Coturnix japonica: one gene and its partners. The protein of the gene in region 1 interacts with the protein of each later gene in a pairwise test. Links are inferred from orthologs where the notes say so. Each region holds a gene or a part of one and is shown in the gene's direction. Other genes may lie near its edges.

Region 1 (4,097 bases):
TGTCCCCTGCCATCTGGTGGCACGCGGCTGATTGATGCTCATCAGCTGTGGGTGGGATGTGGCATGAGTTGCTCCGTGGGGTAGCAGGGAGGACGCTGGGTGTGGGGGTGCCCCGTGCCCTGCAGCACCCCCTGGAGATGTTCTCCTCCCCCAGGCCAGCCAGGAGGCCGACAACGTCCTCATCCTGCAGGACCGCAAGCTCACGACGGGTCCCGGGAAGCGCTACCTGCAGGTGTCCAAGAACCGCTTTGATGGCGATGTAGGCGTCTTCCCGCTGGAATTCAACAAGGCCTCGCTCACCTTCTCCTCCTACGGCAAAAGCAAGGCCAAGCTGAAGAAGGTGAAGGAGGAGAAGGCGCCTTCACCCAAGAAGGGTCCCAATGGAGGAGGTGTGGGTGGCTCTGGCAAGCCCTGAGTGTGGCAGGGACAACCTTGGTACTCGGGCACACCAGGTGCCGTGCGGCTGCGCTCCTCCTGAGCAGAGCACGATGCTGGGAGATGGGAGAGGAGTGGATGTGCAGGCTTTGGGGTCTCTGTACCCTGAGCAGGTCAATATAGGGTTGCTAAGTGGAGGCTGATGGCCCAGGTTTACCTCCCGCACGGTGTGGTGCTAGTGCAGCTCTGCCGGCTCTGAGCCCGGCCCCTCTGGCCACATGTACCACCAGCAGCAGTAGCAGCAATGCCTCAGGGACACAGCCCTGGGCGCCTCGGAGCCTCTCATGGCAAAACACTGTGTCTGAGCCAGTCCTCCCCAGCACAGGGGAGCCCGCCGTGGGCTTTTGGCCCATCCCTCTGTTTTCTTTACACTTTTATTAAAGCAGAGCTGTTCAAGCTGTTTGTCCTTCGCTGCATGAGCGTCCCCGTGCTCCCATCCCCCATCCCTCCAACTTTGGGTCCCATTCAGCCCCGTGTCCATGCTGTGCGTGGGGCAGGACGGCACAGCGGGGCCCCATGGCCCCACGCACACACACACCTCCCGCCCCAGCGCTGACCCAGCACCGGGCACCTCCCCGCCACCGCGCCCCACGGCTCCCACGCGTGGGGCCGGGAGGAGGCATTGGCCGCCGCGCCGGGAGCCGGGCCCATGGCGGAGGACGGGGATGTGGAGGTGAGCGGGACGCAGCCCCCCCCGTGCTGCCTGCGGGGCCGTGGTGCGGGCTGAGGCCCTGCCGCCCCCTGAGGGCCCTTCGCTGCCGTCGCTGCCCCGCGGCCCGGCCGTAGGGCAACCCCCTGCCGCCTCCCATCCGCCGCGGGGCCGGGGGCCGGGGGCGGCGGGGCGGGCGGGGCCTGGCGCGGGCCGGGCCGGCGGAGAGCGGCGGTGCGGAGCGGAGCGTGAGCGAGGGCGGCCGGGCCTGGGCCGGAACGGGCCGGTGGGACCCGCGGGGACACAGTGGGGCGCTACGGAGAGGAGGGACGGGGGGGGGCGGCCCTGACCCCGCTCTCTCTTCCTTTTCCCGGCTCAGGGGGCGGCGGAGTCGGGCCGGGACCCGCCGGACGGATGGGCCGCGGCCGGCCAGGTGAGAAGCGGGGCGACCCGCAACGGGAGAGGGGGCCCGGCGTCACCCCGGGGTGATGCTGGGGGCGGTGGAAGCGGGGGGCGGCCCCGGGGCGGTGCCAGCGCGGCGGGCGGAGCGCGGCGGCCCGAGCGCATCATGGGGCGGCCCGGCCCGGGTGGGTCCGGCTCGGCCCGGGGGGACGCGTCGGTGTGGAGCTCCAGGGCGGGGGGAGGGGGCGGAGTGGGGACCGTGAGCTGTGGGAGAGAGGGGTGTAGGGACGGGATTGGGGAGCGGGGTGATGTTGGTGCCGGGGTTGGGGGGGTTGGGGAGGAGGATGCTTCAGGATGAGGTGTTTGGGGCGTCTCTCTGAGGCTGGAGCTGAGGTATGGCAGTGTAGGCAGCGCTGTGGGGCAGAGCAGGGGTGCAGGACCGGGAGCAGTGGGGCAGAGAAGGCACCGTGACTGCTACGCAGTGGGGACCCTGCTGAGTGCATGGGGCTGCCCCTGTGGGGCTCTTCCTTTGGGCCCTGCACGGGAGCACTGGTGCTGCGTGAGCCCCCTGCATGCCCCGTGCCTCCCCCTGCTCCGGCTAATCCCAGCTTTATGCTGTTCTGCTCGACGCCTGCTCATGCCCGGCATATCTCTTGCAGCCATCCCACATCTGCCTGCGCCATTATGGGGGTCCTATATTCATTGGTGTCCTATGGGATGAGTGAGTGAGTTTATTGCTTAAGGCCTCACGTTGCCTTTCTTTTACAGGCTGCCTGCGCCCCCCTGCCCGCTGGGGGCCCCCCTGCCATGGCCATTGTGCAGACACTGCCAGTTTCCATCGAGGCCACGCCTGAGGCTGCTGCCCAGCTCCGCACTGCCACCCGCTCCCCCCTGCCCACCCACGGCACCATGGGCAGTGTGGGCAGCCTGATTGCCAGCCGACCATGCCACGATCGCTCCTGCCAGCCTGCTGGTGCTGGTGGTTCCTTCCGTGTGCAGGATACGCTGCTGCGAGCCAGCCCCCCGGATCCCCTGCTCCACACTTTGCCCCCCAAGAAGCCGTGCTCAGCCACTGCCCATGCCTACACCAATGAAGTTTTTCATGGGGAGTGGCTGGAGGCAGCCTCTCCCGTCAGCCCCTGCAGCGACTCAGACGAGGCACGGGATGAACAAGCCCCAAGTGGTGGCATCCGGGGGCCGCCCCCCAAGCTTGTCCCTGTCTCTGGCAAGCTAGAAGAGGTAAGGTGGAAGCAGTGCTGGGGGATCTGCTCAGCCCTGTGCTGCACTGGGGCTGCTGGGCTTGGGGAGACGTGCTGGTGCATGCATAGAGAGAGCACATGGTCCATGTCGCTGGGGGTGGTGGTGATCTCTGTGCTCCTGCTGCCCTCTTCCTCATGTCAGGAGTGGCCATGTGTGTGTGGGAGCCTGTCTGAAACTGCTGCATGGAGCAGAGGGCACCTAGTGGTCATCTTCTATAGAGCTGTGACACTCTGAGGTGTTGGGTGGGAGCAGAATTGGTGGGGTTACCAAGTCCTCCCTGGTGCTCTGGCAGCATCCCCAGCATCTGCCAGGCCACCTCTGGAGTGTACCTGGTCCCCAGATCCCACTCTCTCCTCTTTTGCCTTGCAGAATGTGGAGAAGACCCTGATCCGCCCTATGGCATTCAAACCGGTGGTACCCAAAGTCAGGGCTGCTCCGGGCCCGGCCAGCCAAGGGGTACGTCCAGGGGCTGCAGCATTATCAGAGAGCCAGGTGAGCCTCACCCACCTGCTGGGGACCACCGGGGCCGACAAGCCTGGCTCACTGAGCTGCCGCACCAGCAGCCACTCAGGCACGCTCTCAGACTCGGGACGCAACTCTCTGTCCAGCCTGCCCACCTACAGCACAGGCTGCAGCCAACATACTGAGCCTGGCAACCTCACAGCCACCCCTCACAGCCACCCTGAGCCCCCAGGTGGCTACCGCCCACCAGCCGGCCCCTCCAACTCGGACAGTGGGCGCTCATCCTCCAGCAAAAGCACGGGCTCGCTGAGTGGCCGGGGCCGGCCCTCCTCCGAGAGTGGCTCCTGCGGGCGCTCGCCGCTGCCTGGTGAGGAGGTTCTGCTGGTGCGTGAACTGGAGGACAAGCTGCGGGAGAGGGAGGCCGAGCTGCAGCAGCTGCGGGACAGCCTGGATGAGAATGAGGTGGCCATCTGCCAGGTAAGAACCATATAAGGGTAAGGAGAACCAGGGGAGCTCTCAGGGCTGGGGGTGCCCATATAGTCCTATTGTGTAGATTTGGGTTATGCATGCAGTGATGTGTCTGGGGAACCCCATGGAGATTGTAGATGCTGACTTGGGGAGACATGGAGGTGGTGTGGGATGTGGGATGTCCCATCTCAGCGTGTGCCTGTGCCCAGGTGTATGAAGAGAAGCAGCGTCGCTGTGAGCAGGAGCTGGAGGGTTTGCGGCAGCGCTGTGCGGCCCAGGTGCGACAGGCGGCCCAGCAGGCGCAGCGTGGGCAGCAGGTCCTGCAGCTCCAGGTGCTGCAGCTGCAGCAGGAGAAGAAGCAACTGCAGGAGGACTTTGCTCAGCTGCTGCAGGAGCGGGAGCTGCTGGAGCGTCGCTGCGC
Region 2 (4,194 bases), on another chromosome or scaffold:
CATCCTGCTCCTGCAACAGATGCCAGGAAATCATTAACAAACAGATTATCTCCAGAATTCTTCCACTCCATGATCTAAACTTCTCCCAACATCAGATTAATAAGTGACATTACTCGTTTATCAGTAACTCTTAAGCCAACCCTAGGACAAATCACAGACACAAAAGGAAGAGTGCAAACAGCTCAAGATCCAATGTTCAAAACATGATCTTCCAAGTAGCTTAACCTGTGTTTCAGCACACAATGCACAGCATCCATTATGAACTCACTTCTCAACTCAAAGTTTGTTCTCTCTTGGACTTAAGAGCAAGCTAAAGTCTGCTTGAAAGTAACTTAGAGAACATATAAGACTCGTAGAAAAGAAGCCAGTGGTGTGCAGATATAGAGGAGTGTTCTGAGCAGGAATGTGCAGGTTGGTGCCCCCTCACTTTGTTTATGACAGTATTATGGGATCTTCAACAGCTGAACCGAGCTCACAGCCAGATCACAGGATCACAGAATGAGCCGGGTTGGAAGGGACCTCAAGGATCATGTAGTTCCAACCCCCCTGCCTGGCAGGGCCACCAAACATACACCTTTACTAGATCAGGTTGCCCAGGAGACCCCATAGATCCCCATAGAGACCAGAGAGACCCCATAGATCCCCATAGAGACCCCATAGATCCCCATAGAGACCCCATAGAGACCCCATAGATCAGGTTGCCCATGGCCCCGTCCAACCTGGCCTTGAACACCTCCAAGGACGGGGCATCCACAACCTCCCTGGGCGGCCTGTTCCAGGGCCTGACCACTCTCCTAGTGAAGAACTTCCCCCTAACATCCAACCTAAATCTTCCCTCTTTTAACTTCAAACCACGTACCCAGGCGGTGTGTGTAGGAACCCTCACCTATCCCAAACCCTCCTCTCTCCAACAGCAGTGCTGCTGCAGCACCCGCTATACAAGCAGTTGGTCACAACACAACGCCCCTTAGACCCCCCCTGCCCCACAGCCCGCAGCCCTCCCCGCCGTCCCCACCCCTCAGAGCCCGGCTGAGCTCTCAGATCCCTCCACAGTCCCTCCGTACCCCGCAGGCCCCGGCCCGGCCGCACAGCGCACACCGCAGCCCCTCACCCGGTACCGGGAGCTCCTCCCGTCACCCAGCGCCGCCTCGCTCCCCCACCACACCAGCCGCCGGCGCCGTCCCTCGCGAGGCACTCTGGGAAGTGTAGTTCTCACACCGCCTCTATGGCGGGGAGGTGGGGTTATTTTAAACTACAACTCCCAGAATGCTCAGCGGCGCCGGATGCGTGGGGCGGGCCCGACTGCGCAAGCGCACTACGGAGAGATTGGTCGCTGAAGTGGCGTTGCGCGACAGCTGGAAAAGCCGGAAGTGGCTGCTCAGAAGGGCGGAAGTGGGGGGGGCGTAATGGCGGCCGTGCTGTGGGGGTGCGGGAGCTGAGCGGGGAGGTTCGGATTGAGGCCTAAACCGGGGCCTGGCTTCTATTCGCAATGGATGAGGAGAGCCTGGAAGCCGCCATCCAGGCCTACAACGCCCAGCTGCAGCAGGTTGAGCTGGCTCTGGGGGCGGGCCAGGACCCCTCGCAGCGATCGGATCTGATTCAGTTACAAGAAGATTTAAAGCAGCTGATAGAACTGACCGAGTCCAGCCTGGTGGCTGTGAAGAAGAGCAAGTTGTTGGCTGCGTTGGATACAAGCGCCTCCTGTGTAAATCAGCGTGAAAATCCCGATAGCTGTGCCCAGGATGAGGAATATGCTGCCTTCAAGGAAGCCATTGCTGAGCTGGGGACTGATGGTGAGCCCTCAGCTGATAACAGCGAGAGATCTGCGACGGGAGACGAAGAAAGCAAGGAGAGTGAATTGAAATGCAGCGAGGAAGAGTCTGATAGAGAGGAGGAGGAGGAGGAATTGAGTGGGATGAAGGTTAAAGCGCCGTATTACAGCTCGTGGGGGACGCTGGAGTATCATAATGCCATGATTGTGGGGACGGAGTACTTGGAAGATGGCAGTGCAGGTGTCAGAGTGCTGTATCTCTACCCCACTCACAAGTCCTTGAAGCCGTGCCCGTTCTTCTTGGATGACAAATGCAGATTTAAAGAGAACTGTCGGTAAAGAAAAATATGGAGGGGGAGGGGGCTCGTATCCTCGCTGCTGATAAAGGCCGTGTGATTCAAAGGCTGGAACATCTGAGTGTTCCACGCTGGCTGTTGTAACCAATGGGATTTTGCAGTGTTATTAAAATCCATTATGTATGGTAACAGGTGGTATCAAAGAGCTGGACAGTTCAGGTAATGCAGATATGAAGTGGAAATCCCTGTGGGCAAGTTGCAGAGATTTTACCTGATCATTCCAATAGCTACTTTAGTCACAGGCTTATGAGTTAAAACAAAAACACCCAGGGCTGTCTGTTGATGGTACCTTTGTTCCAGCTGCGGGGTCTCCATCTTTGGAGAGCTTCAAATCTAACCCAGATGAGGCCTTAAGCAGCCTGATCAGGCTTTGAAGTTGGCTTTGCTTTGAGCAGGAGGCTGAGATCTCTGTGTCTGTGTGCAGTCCTCATTATCTCAAAAGATCTGTGATTTTTCAGAGATCTCCCTATCAGGGAAAGCTTCATTCTTGGGAGTGGGATTATTTCTTCTATTACACAGCATAAATTATATGAATATGGTGAAAAACGAATGACTTCTTTAATTGAAATGATGCATGATAAACCTTCTGATGCAGATTCATCACTGCTGACAATTTGTTTGAGTTTCCTGTCAGGAAGGAAGGGGTTTATATTTCAAGCCCTTTCTAGTGAGGTAGATCTGACTCCTTTTCTGTCTTCCCTGGCAGGTTTTCACATGGCCAGGTGGTCTCTGTGGAGGAGCTTCAGCCTTTTCAGGAGCCCAATCTGAGTACCCTGGAGGTGGGCTCAGCCTGCCTGGCCAAACACAGTGATGGGATATGGTATGCTGCCAAAATAACTGGTGAGTGGTGTTTGTGGGTGTTGTGCCAGAGCTGTGTAGAGATTGAGCACCCATGCTGAAGGAATTACAAAGTATGACCGTTTTGGTTAATGATAGCAAACACTTGAGGATGTAGCTGTGGCCTTGAACTAAAAATCTGGAGGTAGTTGAGAACGTGTTCTGAGTTGTGTCAGGCTTGGGAAGGGAATAGGATAGGAAATATACATGCATATACAATTGCATATTAGAGTAGAACTGCAGTAATCTGGGAGCTGTTGATAGAGGCTCCCCTCTGTTCTGAGAAGTTTTTTTCTTTGGCACTTGTTGGGTCAGAGGGAGTAAGTCAAACTTCTTTTTAGTTCCATTTGTTGACAGCCCATATTCCTCTATTTTTATAAGTAAATCTCTTAAGCCTTCAGCTGTTTTAACACGTGTTCTTCAGGCCTTCCTCCTCTCCCGCATCATTCCCTGAAGCCAACTTTGAGGAAGCTCTCTGCAGTGTTTGTATTGAGAGTTTACTTGAACTCTTGTTTCTTGCTTTTCCTTCTGTAGATATTGACAGTGGTTACTACACGGTGAAGTTTGATTCCCTGCTGCTAAAGGAAGCTGTTGTAGAAGGAGATAGTATAATTCCCCCACTACGAAGCGAAGATGGTGCCTCATCTGCTGAATCTGATGAAGACAGTGTTGATGATTCTGGTTATGCTAAAGGTGAGAGGGTGGTGGGGGTGTGAGAGAAGTGCCTTGTGATCTGTGTCTGCCTTCTGTCACCAGTATGAGTCTGGTGAAGCTCAAATGTTTCTGTAGCAGCAGGTAGAGGGCGCAATGTTTTATAATGGAGTTCCAGTTCTTAGTCTGTTTTTCAAGTGGGTGTGTGAGCTGAGCAAGTAAAACAGGAGACTTCTAATCTCTCCGGAGCCTACACAGAGCTGTATAACACAACAGGAGTAAGAGATCCCAGGCACAGGTATTCAAACCTCCCAGTGTCTTGATGAGTAACAGCTGTGCCTGGCTTTTTACTATGAAGAGGTGACACCAACAGAACCAGGTTCTCTGAGCATACACAGATAGCACTCTGTCTGTGCCCCTGTTTTGTCACAGGGACAAAGCTGTGTCCTATTGCTCAGTAAATTCAGCCTAATGGAGATTATTGAGTGCTAATAACACATCATTAGCATAGTAGCCTAGAGAATCCTCATGCTACTGACATGCACTGGAGGCACTAATTAAGCACATTATGTGCCACAG
Region 3 (4,047 bases), on another chromosome or scaffold:
CTGAGACCCCAGATATTTCCCAGCTCTCAAAAAGCCGGGGCAGGTTATGGTTCACAAAGGGAGATTAAAACTCCTCCAAATCAAAGTCAAATGTGAGCACGAAAGGAGCTGAAAAGAAAGGGGCTTTCCGTTCCTCCCTGAGGTACACACTTAGTCTTTCGTGGAAGAAACAAGAGGCCACATTTTCCTTTCAGTTTTATCTAGCAGGCATGTGAAAGGCAACTGAGGCTTCCGAAACCATCAATTAAATGCTGAAAGAACAGGTAGAAGTTTGCAAGGAGAAGAGGGAATTATTCACAGACTTCTAAACTATTTCAAACCAAAACACAGCAAAATCTCAGGATATGTATTTTTGTAACTGGTTGAAAGTTGGTACGAAGTTCCTCTCCATTAAGTTCCATGTTAGTTGGGGAAACAAGACAGAATTTTGTTGATACTGCTAAGTTTGCTTTGGGTTTGTGCATTTAATAATGAATAATGAGCTAAAGCCTAAACCAGCACTGGTAGAGCTCAAATCTCTTCATTAAGAGAGGTTTGTGTTGAAAAGTCAATTGTTTTACAGTGTCTCAAAGTGACTTCCTCTTGCAGCACTGATTTTTCCTTTTTGAACTCCCTGATTGCCTCCACAAGGACAAACCCTTCCAGTTCCCAATCTGCCAGTGGCACAAAGACACATAGTGGGTTAGCACAAGTATTCTGCCCTTGTGGGGCCTCATCTGTAGTATCATGTCCAGGTCTGGGGCCCTCAGCACAGGAGGGATGTGGAGCTGTTGGAATGGGCCCAGAGGAGGGGCATGAATGTTGTCAGAGGGCTGGAGCACCTCTCTTACAAAGAAAGGTTGAGGGAGCTGGGCTTGTTCAGTGTGGACCAGGCTCCAGGGAGATTTCATTGCAGCCTTTCAGTATTTGAAGGGAGCTTACCAACAGGAGGCAGATCAACTTTTTGCAGTTTAACAGTGACTAGGCAAGTGGGAATGGTTTTAAGCTAGAAGAGGGGAGATTTAGGTTAGATGCTAGAAGGAAATTCTTTACACAGGGGATGGCGAGGTGCTGGCATTGCCACTCAGAATAGCTGTGGTGCCTCATCCCTGGAGATGCTCAAGGCCAGGTTGGATGGGGTGCTGGGCAGCTTGAGCTGGTGGGGGGCAGCCCTGCCCATGGCACTGGGTGGGGTTGGGTGGTCTGTGAGCTCCCTTCTGACCCAAGTTATTCTATTCTTCTGTGACACAGGGCTGCGGCTGGAACTGGGTCCCACAGCACTACTTGATGAGGCCGCAGGTTGAGTCAGTCCTTCATCCCACCATTGATTTTACCCTCAACATCAGCTTTTGGTAAGTCATCTTGAAGACCTTGTGGGAAATACTGGCTTTCAGCACTCATGCCTGGCAAAGTTGTGGAAGCTTCTCCCTGGAAGCATTCTAGGCCAGGCTGGATGGGACTTTGAGCAACCTGGTCTACTGGGAGGTGTCCCTGCCTACAGAAGGGGGTTGGGACTAGATGATCTTAAAGGCCCCTCCAACCCAAACTATTCTGTGATTCTGTGCATGGAGTGGCACAGCAGTTTTCCAGAAGGGCACAATCTTGTGGCAGAAGCTTTCTGCTATGGGCAGAAAGCCAACAGCTCTGTAACTTCAACACAAAGGCTGCCGAGGGAGGGGGGTGCTGAGATGCACCTATGGCTCACACCTGCCCAAGGCACGCAGCAAGGGACTGAAGGGGACAGTTTCCACGCCGGATGCCTTCTCCACACGGACAGCAGGTAACAGCCCCAGCACTAGCACCACAAGCGGGTTCCCCCCGTTTCTTTGAGCACTTTCCCCGGAGATCTGGGAGGCACCCCCAGCCCCCAACCGGGCCGGGCCTTCCTGCTGCTGGAGGTGGGGGAAGGAAGGGCGGGGGCGGGCGGAGGAAGCGCCGGCACTCCCGGAGCGCGAGGGGGAGCCCGGGGAGCTCCTCCCGCGCGATCCCGGCAGCGGCAGCGGCAGGAAGGGCAGGGCGGGGGCGGGGGCTGTGCGAGGTGGGGGCCGGGCGGTCGATCGGGCGGAGGAGGGGCCGGGGCCGCCGCCGGCTGAGGGAGGCGAGGAGCGGAGCCGCCGAGGGCCGGGGCCTTGGACGCGTCCGGAGGAGGAAGAGGAAGGGGGGGAGCCGGCCCCTCTCGGAGCACGCAGCCCGCATCCGCTTGTGGAAGGGAAGAGGGAAGCGGAGGGGGGGGGAGCGAGCGAGCGGGTACCGCCGCCGAGGAGACAAAGAAGCGGAGCCCGCCCGGGCTGGGAGCCTCCCCGCGCCGCTCCGCCCCGCTCCCACCGGCCGGGCCGGGCCGAGGTGAGCGCACCCCGTGGGAGGGCGGGACGGGGCCGCCGCAAACTTGTGTCGGCCGTAGGGGACAGGAGGTGGGGGCAGGGCGGAGGGGGGTCACCTGGGCGGGGGCTCCCCGGGGAGGGGGCAGGTGGCGGCGGGGGGTGGTGAGGGAAGGGGCCCGGCGGGCTCCTGACAGCCGCCGCTTTGTGTCAGCGAGGGGAGAGCGGCACAAAGGAGAAGTTGGCCCGGGGAGGCGGAGGGGTCCCTCGCAGCCGGGGCACGGCCGGAAAGTTTTGCGGTGGGGGCGGTGTGCGGGGCAGTGCGGGCACGGGCTGACCCGGGGGCCGCGGGGAATATTCTGGTAAGCGGCTGCCGAGGGTTTTGTCGAGCAGTGGCCGCTTAAACGGCATCGAGCTTTAAACAACAAAAAAAAGGAAAGAAAAGGAAAGGGGAAAAAAAAAAAAAAAGTTGGGATGACACGTTGCGTGCCCAGGAAGCGCGTCTCGGGGGGTTGGGGTGGGAATTGGCTCTTCCTCTCCTCGCCGTGCCCTGTGTAGGAAGCTGCCCGAGCACGGGGAGCTGCCAGTCCTCTGTGGAGTTTGCCTCCTCGGTTCTGCTGGCTCGGGGTTTATTTTTACGGCTTTATGGCTCGTTGTGAGCATCAGAGTTATTCTGTGAATTGACTGAACGTTGCCGTGTTCTTTTGTTAGCTCAAAACTTGAGCGAACTCCGTTCCTTTTGTGTGCGGTGATGTGTGTGCTCCTGAGAAAGTGCTGTGGCAGCCGCACGTTCTGTGCGGGTTCCTCACATGGAACACGCCGTTGCCCTTTATAAAAACAAACCTCCATGGTTCAGCCTGTGCATGGCTAATGTCATCTGGAGCCGGGCATGGAGGCATTCAAAAGGGCAGAGCTCATGCAGGGCTTCTTTCTGAATGCGTTCCTGCCCCTGCTTGTCAGCATCAGTACCGCAGAGGAGGTGTTTGTGGTACTGTGTGTGTGTTCGTAGGACTAGAGCTGGAGCGAAATCACTTTGTGACTCACAGATACTGGTATTTTTCAGCTCTGGAGTTGAAGTTGGGTGTCCCACCCTGGTCAGCATCAGCAGCCATGTCCTCATATCTGACTTTCTCCTTGAAACTTAGCCAGGCAGTGTTGCTTTCGGGAGCAGTGCATAAATGCAGACATAGGAGGCACCTGTACTGCTAAGATCACAGTTGTAATTAGCTAGTATCTGTATGTAGGCCATGAAGCAGATCTGGTCTCATTATACCATCAGCTCCCCTCGCAGTTTTTCTGTCAGTGTATGGTTAGCTGCCCCTATGAGCCTTTTACTTCTGCAAGATAGTGTTTCCAATTGCTGTTACAGTTACCTCTTTTGCTGTGTTCCTCCAAAAACAGGAGCAGAGTTAGTCCGTGGTTGTCTGGACAGTCCCTTATGTTAGTCCTTATTGTTAAATATATAATCAGTTCAAAGCTCCGGCCTTTGCCTTGTTTCTGTGCTGAAAAGGGAACTCATTCCTTTTCTCTCCTTCCTCCTGTTTTCTCCCTAGTTTCTTTCCTAGCTGTGTGGTAGCGTTAAAGGTGTTTGCGCTCTTATGTGTCACCTCTCATGTACTGTGTGCTAAAGAAGAGGGACAAGGTCAGCAGCATCTGCTTTGTTTCCAGGCTTTGCTATTTATTTTTTTTTCAATTTTCTTTTTTTTTTTTTTTTCCTTCTTCTGTGTGTGTGTGTGTGGCTGCTGACATG
Region 4 (3,500 bases), on another chromosome or scaffold:
ACCTTATCCCCTGTCTCCACCTCAAGCAATGCCAAGCAGTCTGTACTGCAATGTAATGCAGCACAGCATTCCTCAAGGCACGCCATGCAGCCCTTGCTTATGCATCTCCTCTCTTCCTGCAGGCTGAGCTCTCGCTGCAGAAGGAGCAACTGCAGCTGAAGATCATCGAGGTTGAAGATGAAGTGGATAAGTGGCAGAAGGAGAGGGACCGTATCAAGGTGCGTGGGGGGATATTCACTTTTCCATCTGTCCTATGCTTGTCTCTTTCTTTTCCAGTCTCTCCCATCACTCTTTCTTCCCTCAGTTTTCCTGGCATATCCAGCTCTTACTCACTCCGTTCCTTACCTAGCCTCTACCTCATCACTTTCCAACACTCATTCACGCTACATCTTGGCAACAACAACTCATACTGAAGTCATTTTGCAACACATCCTGCAGGAGGCAAGAGAAGTCTGCACAGCCCTGTTATGAAATGGCTCGGGACACCTCCCTGCTTTAGGTTCCTATGGTTCTACCATCACCAACAACCAGGTCCATTTGGAAACAAAAGCATGCTGCCTTTCTCCTGCTGGTCCACTTAGAAAATCAACTCCAGAAGTGCTCTGGATTGCCCGCCTCCATTCTTGGAGGTGCTTAAAGCCACATTGAATGGGATCCTGGGCGACCCTGAGGGATGGAACTAGATGATATTTGAGGTCCCCCCCCCAGTCCAACCATTCTATGATTCTAAAGCAACCAGGTGTAGCTACGCCTTGTTTATAGTGGAACAGCTCATTTCCATACTGATAGAGGTCTCCTTTATAATCCTCTCACCACACGAGGGTTAGAATATAGTCACGGTGCCTTGTTTTATTTTCTTTAATTTACACCCTAACTGAATAGAGCAGTGAAAACACCATTTGAAGACACCCCAGAGAATTTGCATAATATTAATAAGCAAAGCCGTTCTTCTCCCTTTTATGTGGTACACACACACTGGCTTGCCAGTTCTGCTTTTTGTCTCCTCTATTATTATTATTATTATTACCACCACTATTACTATTATTGGAAATGTGGCCTAGAAATTGTAATTCTGAATATAGTTACATCCATAGTCATTCTGAGGAGTATTTCAGAGGGACGGAGAGAGGTTGATGGGAAGTGTTTCAGCAGCTTTCATCTACTGAAATGGAGAGAATTTGGTCCTTAAATTCTGGAGGAGCCAGAGTTATGATTTAGAAAGTTAGACATTGTTTTTAAATATCACTTAGGAGTGCAGCTCACGAATTGAAGAGATGCTATTATAATGAGGAAGACAGCAGGCACTATCTATATACACACTTACTGCAAGAATTCATATTACTTATCTTAGCATAGCTTTCTGGTGCTAAGGATTGCATACCTAAAGTCTCCATAGTCATAGTCCCAATGCTGAGAATCATAGAATTATGAAGGCTGGAAAAGATCTTTAAGATCATCTGTTCAACAGTCCGCCTACCACCAATATTGCCCACTCAACCATGTCCTTCAGTACTACACATACCCCTTCCTTGAACACCTCCAGGGCAGTGACCCCACCACCTCCCTGGGCATCCTGTGCCAGTGCCCAATAACTCTTTCTGACAATATATTCATCCTAATATCCAATCTGAACCTCCCCTCCTGTTCCATCAAGTGCTTGGATGCAACCCCACCAACATCCCTTATTAGCAAGTGGCTCCACGCGAGATTTCACCTCTTGTTTCTCACCATTTATTGTGTCTTTTCTGCTGCCTTCCCTCTCCTTCCCTTGCCCCCACAGAACTACACCACCAATGAGAAAGCAACGGTAGATCAGCATTTCAAGGAGCTGATCCGGGACCTGGAGAGGCAGAGGGATGAAGTGAAGGCTGCTCTGGATCAGAGGGAAAAGATTGCCTCGGAGAACGTGAAAGAGATTGTGGATGAGCTGGAAGAGAGGGCAAAGCTGCTGCGGGAGGACAAGGAGAACAGGGAGCAGATCCATCAGATCAGTGACTCCGTGCTCTTCCTCCAGGTCAGAAAGACCTCATTTGCTTTTCCTTTTCTCAGACATCATAGGAAGCACTTGTCTGTTCCAGTTCAATGCATATGTACGTGAGGAACCAGCCCTGGCATTTCAAGCTGTGTCTGCTCCCATGAAGCATGAACTTCAGCATGCCAAACCCTCTTTTCCTCCTTGTTTTGGTGGCTAGAGCACACAGCCAAAGCATTTGACTACCTCCCATCCATCTTCACTATTCTCCCTCCCTCTTTGTGTTATTTGGAGCCTGACATAGACAGTTTCTCGGGATTTCTCCTTATATTCCTGAATAATCTCTCTTCTCCTCTCTTTGACAGGAGTTTGGGGCTTTGATGAGGAATTACGTTCCCCCTCCCTCCCTCCCTACGTACAGCGTGCTGCTCGAAGGGGAGAGCATGAGCCCCTCCATGGGGCTGCTCCGCGATGACCTCCTCAATGTCTGCATGAGGCACGTGGAGAAGATCTGCAAAGCAGACCTTGGCCGCAACTTCATCGAGAGGAACCACATGGAGAATGGTAAAGTAACCCAGAGATGTCCCATACCTGGGCAGAGCCTGGCTCAGGAGCTCATTGGGTAAAAGAGGAGGTGGGATTATAAGAAAGGTCCCACCAAGCAGAGCTGTGCTTCCTCAGCTCCTGTCTCAGGGAAATGCAGAGCTCATGGGTTCCTGGAGTGATTAAGGATGAGCAATCTTTCTTATGTAAACAGGGAGGGTATGGTCAATACCACAGCAATGCAAGGAATCTTCTAAGGCTTTGAACCCACTTTCTTTCAGTCTCTTCCCATCAGTTCTGCAGAGGACTTGTGTTGCATAAAGCTTGTTTGTGAGACTGGACACCATAACCATGTTTCACTTCCAAGCTGTCCCACAAACAGCCTTTGTGACCTTGGGCATGGTACTTAATCCCATTAAATGACCTCTTGCACTAAGAATAGTAGGGATGGGAGTAAATCCTTGTCTCGCCAGGCTGTGAGGAAGGTCTAAATTATGATTAATTGTGGGACCGCAGATAGCAGAGCAATAAAGGTCAAGAAGCTGGATTGGTAACCTGAGGATAAATTGCAGCCTGCTGTCCAGAAGAGGTGGCTCAAAAAGATGTAGGAATAGACTTGAAGCCCATTTCACACAACAAAAGATCACCACAATGTCTCCAGCTTCCACAAAAGACAGATGCACATTACAAGATGATATGATAAAAGAGATGGGGAGGAAACAACTGAAAAAGCAAATAGAAGCACGAGTCAGACCAACATGGGACATGTTACTGGAGAACAAACAGTGTTTCTCAGAGGCTGATGTTTGTGAATCAGCCTGACATTCATGATTTAGAGCAGTAAGAATGAAGGAGACATGGGAGCAGAGTACATTTGGATGTGTAATGAGAGTCACTGCATTCATCAAGTGATAGAGTGCTGCCTTCCTTCATTAGGAAGAGAAAGAGCAAGTCTTGGCCCCAAGGAGCCTGCATTTAATTCAAG
Region 5 (4,210 bases), on another chromosome or scaffold:
TAGGAGGAGATGCTGGCAAGAACATCAGCTCTGAGGAGCCAACACTCACACTGATCTCCATGTGCAGTGCCTGACAGCTGAGAGCAACTCCCAGCAGCTGGTCCCCACTCCTTGCTTTTCTCCGGCCACCAAAATCTGCCTTCCACCCCCAATGCCTCTCACCCCAATGCCTGTTCCTGCCCGTCTCTGCCCGCTTGCTTTGCTGTCTTAGTGCTGCCCAGGCTGTACGTGGCCAGGGGTAGGGCAGAGCCCGGCCGACCACGCGGACACGTCTCCCAAGTCTCATTCTTTTTGTGAACATTTGTAGTTGTTTCCACAGCTTGTCGTCAAGGAGAGAAAAAAAAAAGAAAAAAAAAGGAGAAAAAAAAGGTAAAAAAAAAGAAAAAAAGAAAAAAAAATAAAAGAAAAAGAAAGAAAAGCCAACCTTACGAAAAGCAACAATAACGATAACAACAATACACCTGTCCTCCGGGAGTTTTCCTCTGTCTGCACAATAAAACCTTAGGTTGTGTGTTGGAGATGTGTGTGCAGTGAGGGGCTATAGGGGGGGAGGGCACGGTTTGCCCTGCTGGGGGGTGACCCCCTTCTGCACCCATCTACGCTTCCATTCTATACCAGAGAACCCTTCTCGGCTCATTGTGAGCTCAGGGTTGGGGCCACCTGCGCTATGGGGAGAGGGGCAGTGCAGGGTAGGTACCACCAGGTATCCGTGGGCATATGGGCACAGGCTCCCTTGGCACCCCATCTCCATCCTGCCCTGCCTGCAGCGTGGAGGCAGCCCAGTGGGCAGGGAGTGAGTGGGAGTGGGGTTGGACACAGGGCATATCCCCCTATGGGTGACCCCATAGAAGCCTCTGGGAGTCACACCCAAGCACAGACGTATCGGCCCTCCCTGTTTTGGGGCTGGAGCTGGGCAGCGGGGATGAAGATGCCACCATAATTGCATCCCGCACCTAATTATCGTCAGCAGGTGCTGGCTGAGTCACAGGCACCGCGGTGCCGGCTCACGGGGTGGGTCAGGCGTCAGGGAGAGGCACCCAGGATTGTGCCCTGATGTCCCCCTGTGTCACCATGGGGTTACAGGGGTGGGTGCTCCTGGCCCCCTCCCACAGGGCTCTTCTCCATGTAACAAAACCCAAAGCAGCTCCCCGTTCCCCTCTTACTCTTTATCAATCCATTCCCTCCTGGACCCCCATCTCCTTCCCTCTCCCCTCACTCACCCCCACAACCCCCCTTCCCCTCCCCATCCTTCCCATCTTACCGTGGGCCTTACCTTGGGCTCACGTCCCCTTTAAGCCTCCCTGAAGCTGGAATGCGAGAGGAGCATTTCGGCGCCCCGCGAGGTCAGATAAAGACTCTATATTTATCTAGCTGGTAACCTGAGCCCTGAATTTCTGCTGTGTGTTTTTTACGCTGCCCCACAACCCTCCGGCACGGCCCCTCCGGACCATTCCCAACTGAACCTCGGGGTGATCAGACCCTGCCACAACTCCCCCAACACCCCCCTGTTCTCCTCCAGCCCCTGGAAGAACCCCGAGGAGGGAGGACTGAAACAAGGCAGCCTCATGAGTCTCCATTCACCCCACACCGTGCCAACCTCGCACCCCTGAGCGCGCAGCCACTGGTGAGTGCAGGGAGCACAGGGGGATAGCAGCAATGGGGAGGGGGCTGCGGGATGTCAGTGGGACCCTTAACTCTGCCCTCTTTTCCCTTTGTTTGGGGTGAAGCCATGGGAAAGATGTTTTTCTATCTCCATAGAGGGTGGGACCATGCCTGGCACTTGGCCCCTGGGTGAGCACAGCCATGTCCCATCCACTTCCCCCCCCAGGCTCCCTATTCTTTATCCACCTGCAGACCTCAAAGCAGTCACCTTGGGCCCTCCATCAGGGTTCCACTGTGGGTTTGGGATTTTGCTGCCTTGGGGTGGCCCTGGAGCACTGAGCAGCCAGGTGGGGATGTGTCAGCGCAGTGACGCCAGGCCTGCAACACACATGTGCTGAGCTGGGTGCATTCTCAACCTGTGACTGCATGGGGAAAGCTCCCCCACCTTGCTTCCCTCCCAGCACCCTCAGCCCTAAAGCAGCCTGGAATGGGCAGGGTGTTCCACATGGGATCCCCCCCATTGCCTCCCCTATGGCATCATGCTGGGAGCTCTGCATTAACCTCCAGGCTGGGACATTGTGTCTCAGGGCACAGGGACAGGGCTCACAGCCTGCGTAAGTGAGAAGCAGCTGAGCCGTAACACCTCGGTTGGAGCCAGGGCTGTGTAAGCTGAGCTCACCCTGGGGCTCTGCAGCCACCAAGGGGGAAAGCTGCCACCGGGGCCACCAGTGTGAATGTCAGCTCACTCAATGCCTAGGAGACCAATGGGGATTCTATTGGGAATGCTGGGAATGAGCTCCCCAACATGAGCATCCCTGCAGTGCTCATGGCCACATGGCCACAGACCGGACATTCCCGTGCCTCAGTTTCCCCAGGGAGGATGATGAGGTTGCAGGAGTCCTGACTCAGCCATGCCAGCCTCAGGGTTTTGCTTTGCATCAGAAAGGCTCAGCATTATTATTGGGCAGGGAGGGGCCAGGCAGGTCAGGAAGCGATGGGAGGAACCGGGGTTTTTCTCACACCCCCTCAGCTCCTCGGGCTCATGGCACACTCCGCTCTCCCACAGCCCTGGGGTCCACAGCGATATGACATGGGGACAGCACGGTGCAGATCATCCTAGCAGACACAGCAGCCCTACATGGTAAGACCTCTCCTCCCATGATACCAGTGGGTTCACCGCTATGTCCAGGGCAAGATCCCCCTCCTGAGCCCCATATCCCTGCACATCAGCTCTCCACACCCCCAGGGCAGGCAGTATCCTCTAGGGATTAATCCCATGGACTGAAAGCCCCCGTTGGAGCCACAGGGCTCCAGCACCCTCATCCCAATGTCCATGGGAATGCTGGTCCTTGGCTGGGTCCCACATCCCCCAGCAAAACCCTACAGTATGCACTGGATCCTGGCTGGTAGAGCAGCTCCAGGGCCCTCCCAGTGCTGGCACGGATGGGCCAGGGAGAGCCGGGTGTTGGTGGCTTGTTTGCCTGCAAGGGGATTATTCACCCCTCGGCCTCAGTTCCCAAACAGGTCTGTGCGCTCTGGCTTGCTCTCGCTTGTAAATAGTTTCCTCTTGCTGCTCCCTCAGCAATAGCAGCCAGGACACAGCCCAGGGCCGAGGAGGGAGGATCCCATGGTGCTTGCACTCGGTGACCATCCCCATGCCCAGCTGTGCCCTGCATGGAAGGGATAAAGCCAGGCTCCATCCCATCACCTCCACGCTGCCTTGGAGTGAGGCCAGTGCCCGCCCCAGCAGGGCTGGGAAAAACCTCTGAGCTGGGTCATCTCCTGGGTGACAGGGGACTCTTAGAGTCACACGAACCACTGTCCGGCCAGGGAAGGGATGTGAGGCAGCACAGCCCTGGGACAGGTAGGAGACCTGCATCAGCACAGGAGAGAGCTGTCCTCCCTGTTTGTGGGAGGTTTCTTGCTGCCCTGTCTTTGACTCTGTGCTGGTTCCTTCTTTGCTCCGGGTGCCTCCTTCCCCCTCCTGTCCTGTGCATGGGTCACTGTGTGGGAGAAGCCACCACCCCCCATAGGACCCAGTGCTTGGCTGTCACACTGCCCTGCAGGCTGGCTGTGCCTGGTGACGGGGACACAGCGGTCACCTGCACTGCTGAATTATTGATGGCAGGCAGGCAGGGCACTGGCATGGCAGGCAGACAGGCTGTATGCTGCAATACGGTGTCCCTTGTTTGTCCCCACTGTCCCCAATGCCCCCTGGTGGGTGGTGGCTGCAGCTTGGCCCCAGGCACCGTGCAGGGAGCAGGGATGGATGATGATGCAGAGGCATCGGCTGACCATGAGTGCCCATTGCCATGCCCAGTGAAGCCCTAATTCAGTGGTATCAGGTCCCTGCACAGGGTCTCCAGGTGGGGGTCCTGGGGTGGGCACTGTCTGGTGTCAGTCATAGCCCATGCAGCTGAGCCCAGGCCCTTCTCTTGCAGCCCATGCCTCCTTCCAAGACCTCTGAGCCCCAGCCTCCAGCATGTCCCAGCTCTCCTCCACACTGAAACGGTACGTTGACTCGTCCCGCTATGCTGAGAACACCTACAGCAAGATGCCCAGTGGCTACAGCTCCTACACCTCCTACGGCTCCACTTATGCCTATGCA
Region 6 (2,763 bases), on another chromosome or scaffold:
TTCCCAGTTCTACCCCAGCCAAGGGTGCCAGGATTGGCCCTAAGTTACCTGAGTGTGTAAGTCTTTTAAAACCTCCTGGAAAGCATTCTGTCTGAGAATAAAAATCCCATACAAATTGTTTTTACAGAGTCAGCAAGGATCAAGTGAAAGGAAGGGAATTCTTTGAGGAAACAGCCAGCATCAGTCCCCAGTCTGAGCAATCCTTTGAGGAAGAGAAGATAAAAGGCATCAGAACTCCCAGCTGGGATGGTGAATCTGCTGAGGGGGAGGAAGAGGAAGAGACACCAGCCAGCCCTCAGGTTCAGCAGCCTCACTGTGAAGAGGAGGCCAGATCCAGCCCCACCTCCAACCAGCACTGTGAAGAAGAGGAGCAGAAAGAAGAAAAGGAGGAGGAAGAAGCAAAGGCAGGCCTTCTGCTTGGCCATTCCCTGGAGGAAGAGAATGAGGAAGAAGAGGATAGGTCAAGACCCAGCTCTCAGTCTGGTCAGTCCAATGGACAGCAAGAGGAGGGTCAGTCTGACCCCGAAGCTGAGGGTGCTTTCCAGTATGAGGATGAGGAATATGAAAGTGATGATTCTGATGAGAAGCCCAGTGATGAGGAGGCTGACTGAAGGGAAGGCAGATAGGGCAGCCTGGTGCTCTGGAACCTATTTCATTGCTGGCATTGAAATAGATACCAAAATCATGTCACAGAATTGTAGGGGTTGGAAGGGACCTCTAGAGATCATCGAGTCCAACCCCCCAATGTTTTTTACTACTAATATAAGAAAAACAGTGAATTTAAAACTCTTAGCTTAACAGTCTTTCCAGCACAGAAATTGTGTTGATTTTCCAATATGAAAGATTAAGTTATTCATCCCCACCAAGAAAAAAATCAGTTATTTTACATTCCTCTTCTTTAATCTAGACTTCAGTGCCACCCATGCACTACTGTTCCTAGAGTTTTCAGCAACCAGTGTTTAATAATGTCTTGTGAACTGTGCTGTTAAGTACTGAGGTCTCAGCACATCCAGCAGTAACTTGCTCTTGCCTCCCCGTTTCAAACACTGAGGCCCTTTTGGGCTCTGTTCCTGCAATATCTTCTAGGACGGCAATGAAGCAACAAGGGTTTGTTGTCCAAGACCTCAGGTTGTGTTTAGTAGAGCAGCTACAAGGAAGACCATTGTGGTCAGACAAAACAGCCAAGCTTACCTGTTTGGCTCCCCCCTCCTGTCTGCTCCCACCAGCAAGCTGGATTGGCTCAATGATGGGCCAGGAGAGTGCCAGGGTCAGAGGAGAAGGAGGTGACTGCTTCTGGAGGAAACTAGTTGTTAGATGGGTCAACATGAATGTTTTGTGCAGCTAATATAGGAATAGTATTACTGTTACTGAAGGCTTGGCATATAGAGGAGAAAGAAATGCACTCAAATACATTGAGAGCCATCATTTTTAGTTTTCACTGAGCTCTAACACTGATAGAACAAGTGAGGTAGAAGAATAAAGCTTCCAAAAGTTGTTCTGCCCCTGATTAACTTGATATAAATGTGAACAGTTGCACAATGCAGCATATGGAGCAGCTGCTGAGGGATTTTGATGATCCCCATGAAGGATCTAAAGGACTTACCATGTTGTAAAGAGCAAACATTTCAGGGCAGCAACCTGACTTCCAAGCTTCCAAACGACGGGTGAATGAGTTGCATTAATAGGTGTTACTTTTGCTCTGTGTCACTCATGTCACTCGTTGCTATATCTTAAGGAATGCAACATACAAAGACAAACAGGCACTCAGTTAGTATCATTTGTTTAATAAAGTCTCCTCTGTTTTTAAAAAAGTGTACAAGACAGCTGTGTTCTGCATGACAAACAACTAGCATCTGATCTTTCCTTTTAATAACTTAAGCCATGCAGAAAGACTAGCCTGCCTAACTCAGTGTTACACAGCAGCTGAACAATATGCCCAAATACACACAGACCTTCATGCTGACATGGAAACAGGTAGCACGTGACATCACAGAGTGAGGATCAAAGTACAAGCTTGCTCGAATGGTTTTTAGAATTCAAGTGTAAGTTTAAGGAAAACCCCTGATTTATTTTTGAAATGTAGCTTATGTACCCAGAGTGAATGTTCTGCTACAACCTGCCTATGGCTATCCTTTATTCGGCAGCCATGTGAAAACACATACACAGAAATGTTACAAGTCCCTTTTACTACCGGTACTACACATTAACAACTGAATCTGATAGCATTGCTTTGGTTGTTTCAATACAGAATGATGTAAGTTTCTATTGTCTTAGCTCTGCTTTTCCGTTTTTATCCAAAGTCCTCAAAGAGCTTTGCTGAGGTGAATGTCTGTTAGGTCTCTCTTCAAGGATCCAATGCAGCTTTTGTATGAGAAACTGCGGAAGGCAAACAAACAGAGACATTACTATCATACAGGTAATAACACGAACTTCTATAAAGTAGTCATTAGTCCTCAATGTCTTGGGATTTCCCTCACCACTTGGGAAATTTGAGAAGGAGGGAGTGGAAAGATCTGAGCCACGTGTGATATTTCAGAGCATAAATCATATATACTGGACTGCACCCTAGGGATAGGAAAAGGAGGGAAAGGCTAGATCTAAACTTCACAGTGCTGTTCCTAATTAAACTGCCAAACGAGGGCTCCATTGTGCAGATGAGGGAAATAATGCTTTCCTGGCTTCTTGGAAGCTCAAAACCAGCAACACAGCACATTTATTTTATGAAAATAAAAATAATTAAACAAAGGAAAGCTGCAGCTTCCA
Region 7 (2,260 bases), on another chromosome or scaffold:
GCTGAAAATGAGGTATTTCCTTATACAGGAGCAGCAGGATACGTTTCCACTACAAAAGGTGTTGAAAGTCGCAGACGTGGAGAGAGAGTTTGGCAATTACCTCTTCCGTAGGCAGTGCTTTGATGGTGCCAAAGACAGATACAAACGGGTATGACACAAGAGAAAACGTGTTTTCACTCGTGAGTTGTGAAAGTGGTGATTTAGTGCTGGCTCACTGTAACAGGTGCACTGCAGAGATGATATGACTTCATCATATATTCAGGTGTAGTTCATTATTTAAGAACTGACCTGAGATGCTGTTGTACAAGTAGCAGTAGTAAATGAAAGAGGAGGGTTGGCAGAAATCTGCAGACCCTTCTTTCAGGAGTCCCTTCTGGACTCCCAGTTGGGAACAGAATACTTGAGGCTGGAAGAAGCCTCTGGATTTTGCCTAACCACGTGCTCGAGGGCAGCTAGAGCAGGATATTGCCCAGGATTGTGTCCATTTAGGCTATGAACATCTCTAAGGATGGAGACTCCCCAGCCTACCTAGGGAGTACCTTTTTATTTCAATGCTTTTAAGTTCCTTAATAGGTTGCTGCAGTCTTGTGACTGAGCTGGTTAGTCATGCTGATAGCACTGTGTGGTATATTTAGGAGTCTGATAACCTGGGTCAGTTAAAAATAATAAAGAGAAACATGGCTGTAGCTGGCTGATTGGGATGGATTTCTCATGGTAGATTTGTGTGCTGGTCCTTTTCCCTCTCTGCTCAGGCACACTCCATCCTTGGTCGCAGCCCTTCCAGTGAGGCAGAGCAGTGTCAGATTAATGCTTCCAAGTTGCTGGTGCTCCTGAATCTCTCAGTTACTTACCTGAAGCTGGAATGTCCTGCCCGAGCTCTGATGTATGGGGAAAAAGCCTTGGAGATTGACAGAAGAAACGTCAAGGCGCTGTTCAGGTGTGGTCAGGTGGGCAAAGATAAATTCCTCTGGTAGCCACATCAAGCAGTGACCCAGCCTGACTGGCTGTGTAATAAACAGAAGAGCCACTAAATTCTGGCCCAGGCCTCCTGAGCTCCTGCAGCAGTGGAGGTGATTCGTCAGCATCTGAAAATCTGCTTCTCAGTAAATCTGTCACACAAATCTTTGCTTGAGGGATTCCTGAGGTACCTATATCTGTCCCTGACATGTTTGTAGTTGTACGTATCTCAGTCCCAAAGGGTAGCAGCAAACCTATATTTATCTTTTAATGCACCTGTCTTCTTTCAATGGCAGGCTTGTCTCTGCATGACAGAGTATGAAAAAGCTCGGGACTTCCTGATCAGAGCTCAGCATATAGAGCCGTTTAACCGCGACATTAACAACGAACTGAAAAAGCTGGCAAGGTGAGAACTGCTTTCCATTGTTGTGCTTAGACAAGCTGAAAGCATCCCATGAAAACTACTAAAATACTCCAGGGTTTGTTTAGAAAATTAATAATAATCAAGCACCAAAGCTGTCGGGTAAGTAAATGTAGAGTGTCTTTTATTGTGGGAAAGGCTCACTCAAGGTCTTGCACAGGGTGGTTGCAGGTGATATGTCAGAAGCTAAAAGTATTCATTTGTTCCATAGAGTTTCTCAGAAGGGGGGTGTGATCCACTCCATCTGAGCCATATGGGTCAGGCCGATGGCAGGGAGGTGGAGGGCTGCTGAGATACCTCAAACCCAATGAAATGCAGTAGGTTGGCACTCAAGAAGATCACGTTCTACATTAATACATGGTTTTCATTTCCTTTAAGATGCGTCAGCTGATTACAGCTCTTTTTTGCACTGCAAGTGTTTCACTGTACAATGCTACAAATACTGATGTTCATCTGTGGGAATATCTTAAAAGTGAATTTCTTGCTGTCTTGGTAGTAACAGATGAGCAATCCCAAAGGCAGACTTTCCCTTTGCCTGCAGACTGAGTACAGCACAATTCTACCAGCCTTAGTCATGCCCTAGTCATGAAAACATGACTAACACTGGCCTCCATCCTCACTCTGTTCTTTTGCTTGAAACTGGCAAAACCAGCAGCTGGTTCCCATAAGTTGTGCTGTACTTCTGGCACTGTTCACGGGCACAGAAAGGGAGGAAGTCTCCAGCTTCAGCAATCCCAGAGCTGCCCTGAATAGGAGCCCTCTTTGGTGTTGCTGCTGGGTGTTTGCAGTAAGGCTTGGAGGGAACAGTAACATCTCAAATAAGAGTAGCTGGTATGACTTGAGACAGTCTGTGGGCTAAGGATCTTCACCTGGTAATGTTTT

What was found.
Region 2: the proteins of LZTS2 (region 1) and ZGPAT interact in binary tests that used the Homo sapiens proteins (3 or more experiments, as listed by UniProt). The two-hybrid records come from large-scale screens. The link is inferred for Coturnix japonica from reciprocal best matches to the Homo sapiens genes LZTS2 and ZGPAT.
Region 3: the proteins of LZTS2 (region 1) and NCK2 interact in binary tests that used the Homo sapiens proteins (3 or more experiments, as listed by UniProt). The two-hybrid records come from large-scale screens. The link is inferred for Coturnix japonica from reciprocal best matches to the Homo sapiens genes LZTS2 and NCK2.
Region 4: the proteins of LZTS2 (region 1) and TRIM29 interact in binary tests that used the Homo sapiens proteins (3 or more experiments, as listed by UniProt). The two-hybrid records come from large-scale screens. The link is inferred for Coturnix japonica from reciprocal best matches to the Homo sapiens genes LZTS2 and TRIM29.
Region 5: the proteins of LZTS2 (region 1) and USP2 interact in binary tests that used the Homo sapiens proteins (3 or more experiments, as listed by UniProt). The two-hybrid records come from large-scale screens. The link is inferred for Coturnix japonica from reciprocal best matches to the Homo sapiens genes LZTS2 and USP2.
Region 6: the proteins of LZTS2 (region 1) and FAM161A interact in binary tests that used the Homo sapiens proteins (3 or more experiments, as listed by UniProt). The two-hybrid records come from large-scale screens. The link is inferred for Coturnix japonica from reciprocal best matches to the Homo sapiens genes LZTS2 and FAM161A.
Region 7: the proteins of LZTS2 (region 1) and FKBP6 interact in binary tests that used the Homo sapiens proteins (3 or more experiments, as listed by UniProt). The two-hybrid records come from large-scale screens. The link is inferred for Coturnix japonica from reciprocal best matches to the Homo sapiens genes LZTS2 and FKBP6.

Annotation. Positions count from the first base shown.
Region 1 is NC_029521.1:20,199,742-20,203,838, reverse strand, and holds the start of LZTS2 (leucine zipper putative tumor suppressor 2), read left to right. Parts: upstream 1-1,297; 5' UTR 1,298-1,517; intron 1,518-1,606; exon of another isoform or gene 1,607-1,699; intron 1,700-2,254; 5' UTR 2,255-2,293; coding exon 2,294-2,725; intron 2,726-3,115; coding exon 3,116-3,685; intron 3,686-3,885; coding exon 3,886-4,097. Other genes in the region: TWNK (twinkle protein, mitochondrial), read left to right, coding at 155-415. UniProt on the Homo sapiens protein: Negative regulator of katanin-mediated microtubule severing and release from the centrosome. Required for central spindle formation and the completion of cytokinesis.
Region 2 is NC_029535.1:9,383,828-9,388,021, forward strand, and holds the start of ZGPAT (zinc finger CCCH-type with G patch domain-containing protein), read left to right. Parts: upstream 1-1,394; 5' UTR 1,395-1,489; coding exon 1,490-2,106; intron 2,107-2,833; coding exon 2,834-2,967; intron 2,968-3,498; coding exon 3,499-3,657; intron 3,658-4,194. Other genes in the region: ARFRP1 (ADP-ribosylation factor-related protein 1), read right to left, coding at 1-3. UniProt on the Homo sapiens protein: Transcription repressor that specifically binds the 5'-GGAG[GA]A[GA]A-3' consensus sequence. Represses transcription by recruiting the chromatin multiprotein complex NuRD to target promoters.
Region 3 is NC_029516.1:122,011,144-122,015,190, forward strand, and holds the start of NCK2 (cytoplasmic protein NCK2), read left to right. Parts: upstream 1-1,247; 5' UTR 1,248-1,331; intron 1,332-2,044; exon of another isoform or gene 2,045-2,322; intron 2,323-4,047. UniProt on the Homo sapiens protein: Adapter protein which associates with tyrosine-phosphorylated growth factor receptors or their cellular substrates. Maintains low levels of EIF2S1 phosphorylation by promoting its dephosphorylation by PP1.
Region 4 is NC_029539.1:3,284,007-3,287,506, forward strand, and holds part of TRIM29 (tripartite motif-containing protein 29), read left to right. Parts: intron 1-122; coding exon 123-218; intron 219-1,780; coding exon 1,781-2,014; intron 2,015-2,337; coding exon 2,338-2,536; intron 2,537-3,500.
Region 5 is NC_029539.1:3,556,091-3,560,300, forward strand, and holds the start of USP2 (ubiquitin carboxyl-terminal hydrolase 2), read left to right. Parts: upstream 1-1,410; 5' UTR 1,411-1,624; intron 1,625-2,668; 5' UTR 2,669-2,743; intron 2,744-4,043; 5' UTR 4,044-4,084; coding exon 4,085-4,210. UniProt on the Homo sapiens protein: Hydrolase that deubiquitinates polyubiquitinated target proteins such as MDM2, MDM4 and CCND1. Isoform 1 and isoform 4 possess both ubiquitin-specific peptidase and isopeptidase activities.
Region 6 is NC_029518.1:13,374,259-13,377,021, forward strand, and holds the end of FAM161A (protein FAM161A), read left to right. Parts: intron 1-127; coding exon 128-611; 3' UTR 612-2,263; downstream 2,264-2,763. UniProt on the Homo sapiens protein: Involved in ciliogenesis.
Region 7 is NC_029534.1:197,457-199,716, reverse strand, and holds part of FKBP6 (inactive peptidyl-prolyl cis-trans isomerase FKBP6), read left to right. Parts: intron 1-28; coding exon 29-148; intron 149-752; coding exon 753-947; intron 948-1,253; coding exon 1,254-1,363; intron 1,364-2,260. UniProt on the Homo sapiens protein: Has an essential role in spermatogenesis. It is required to repress transposable elements and prevent their mobilization, which is essential for the germline integrity.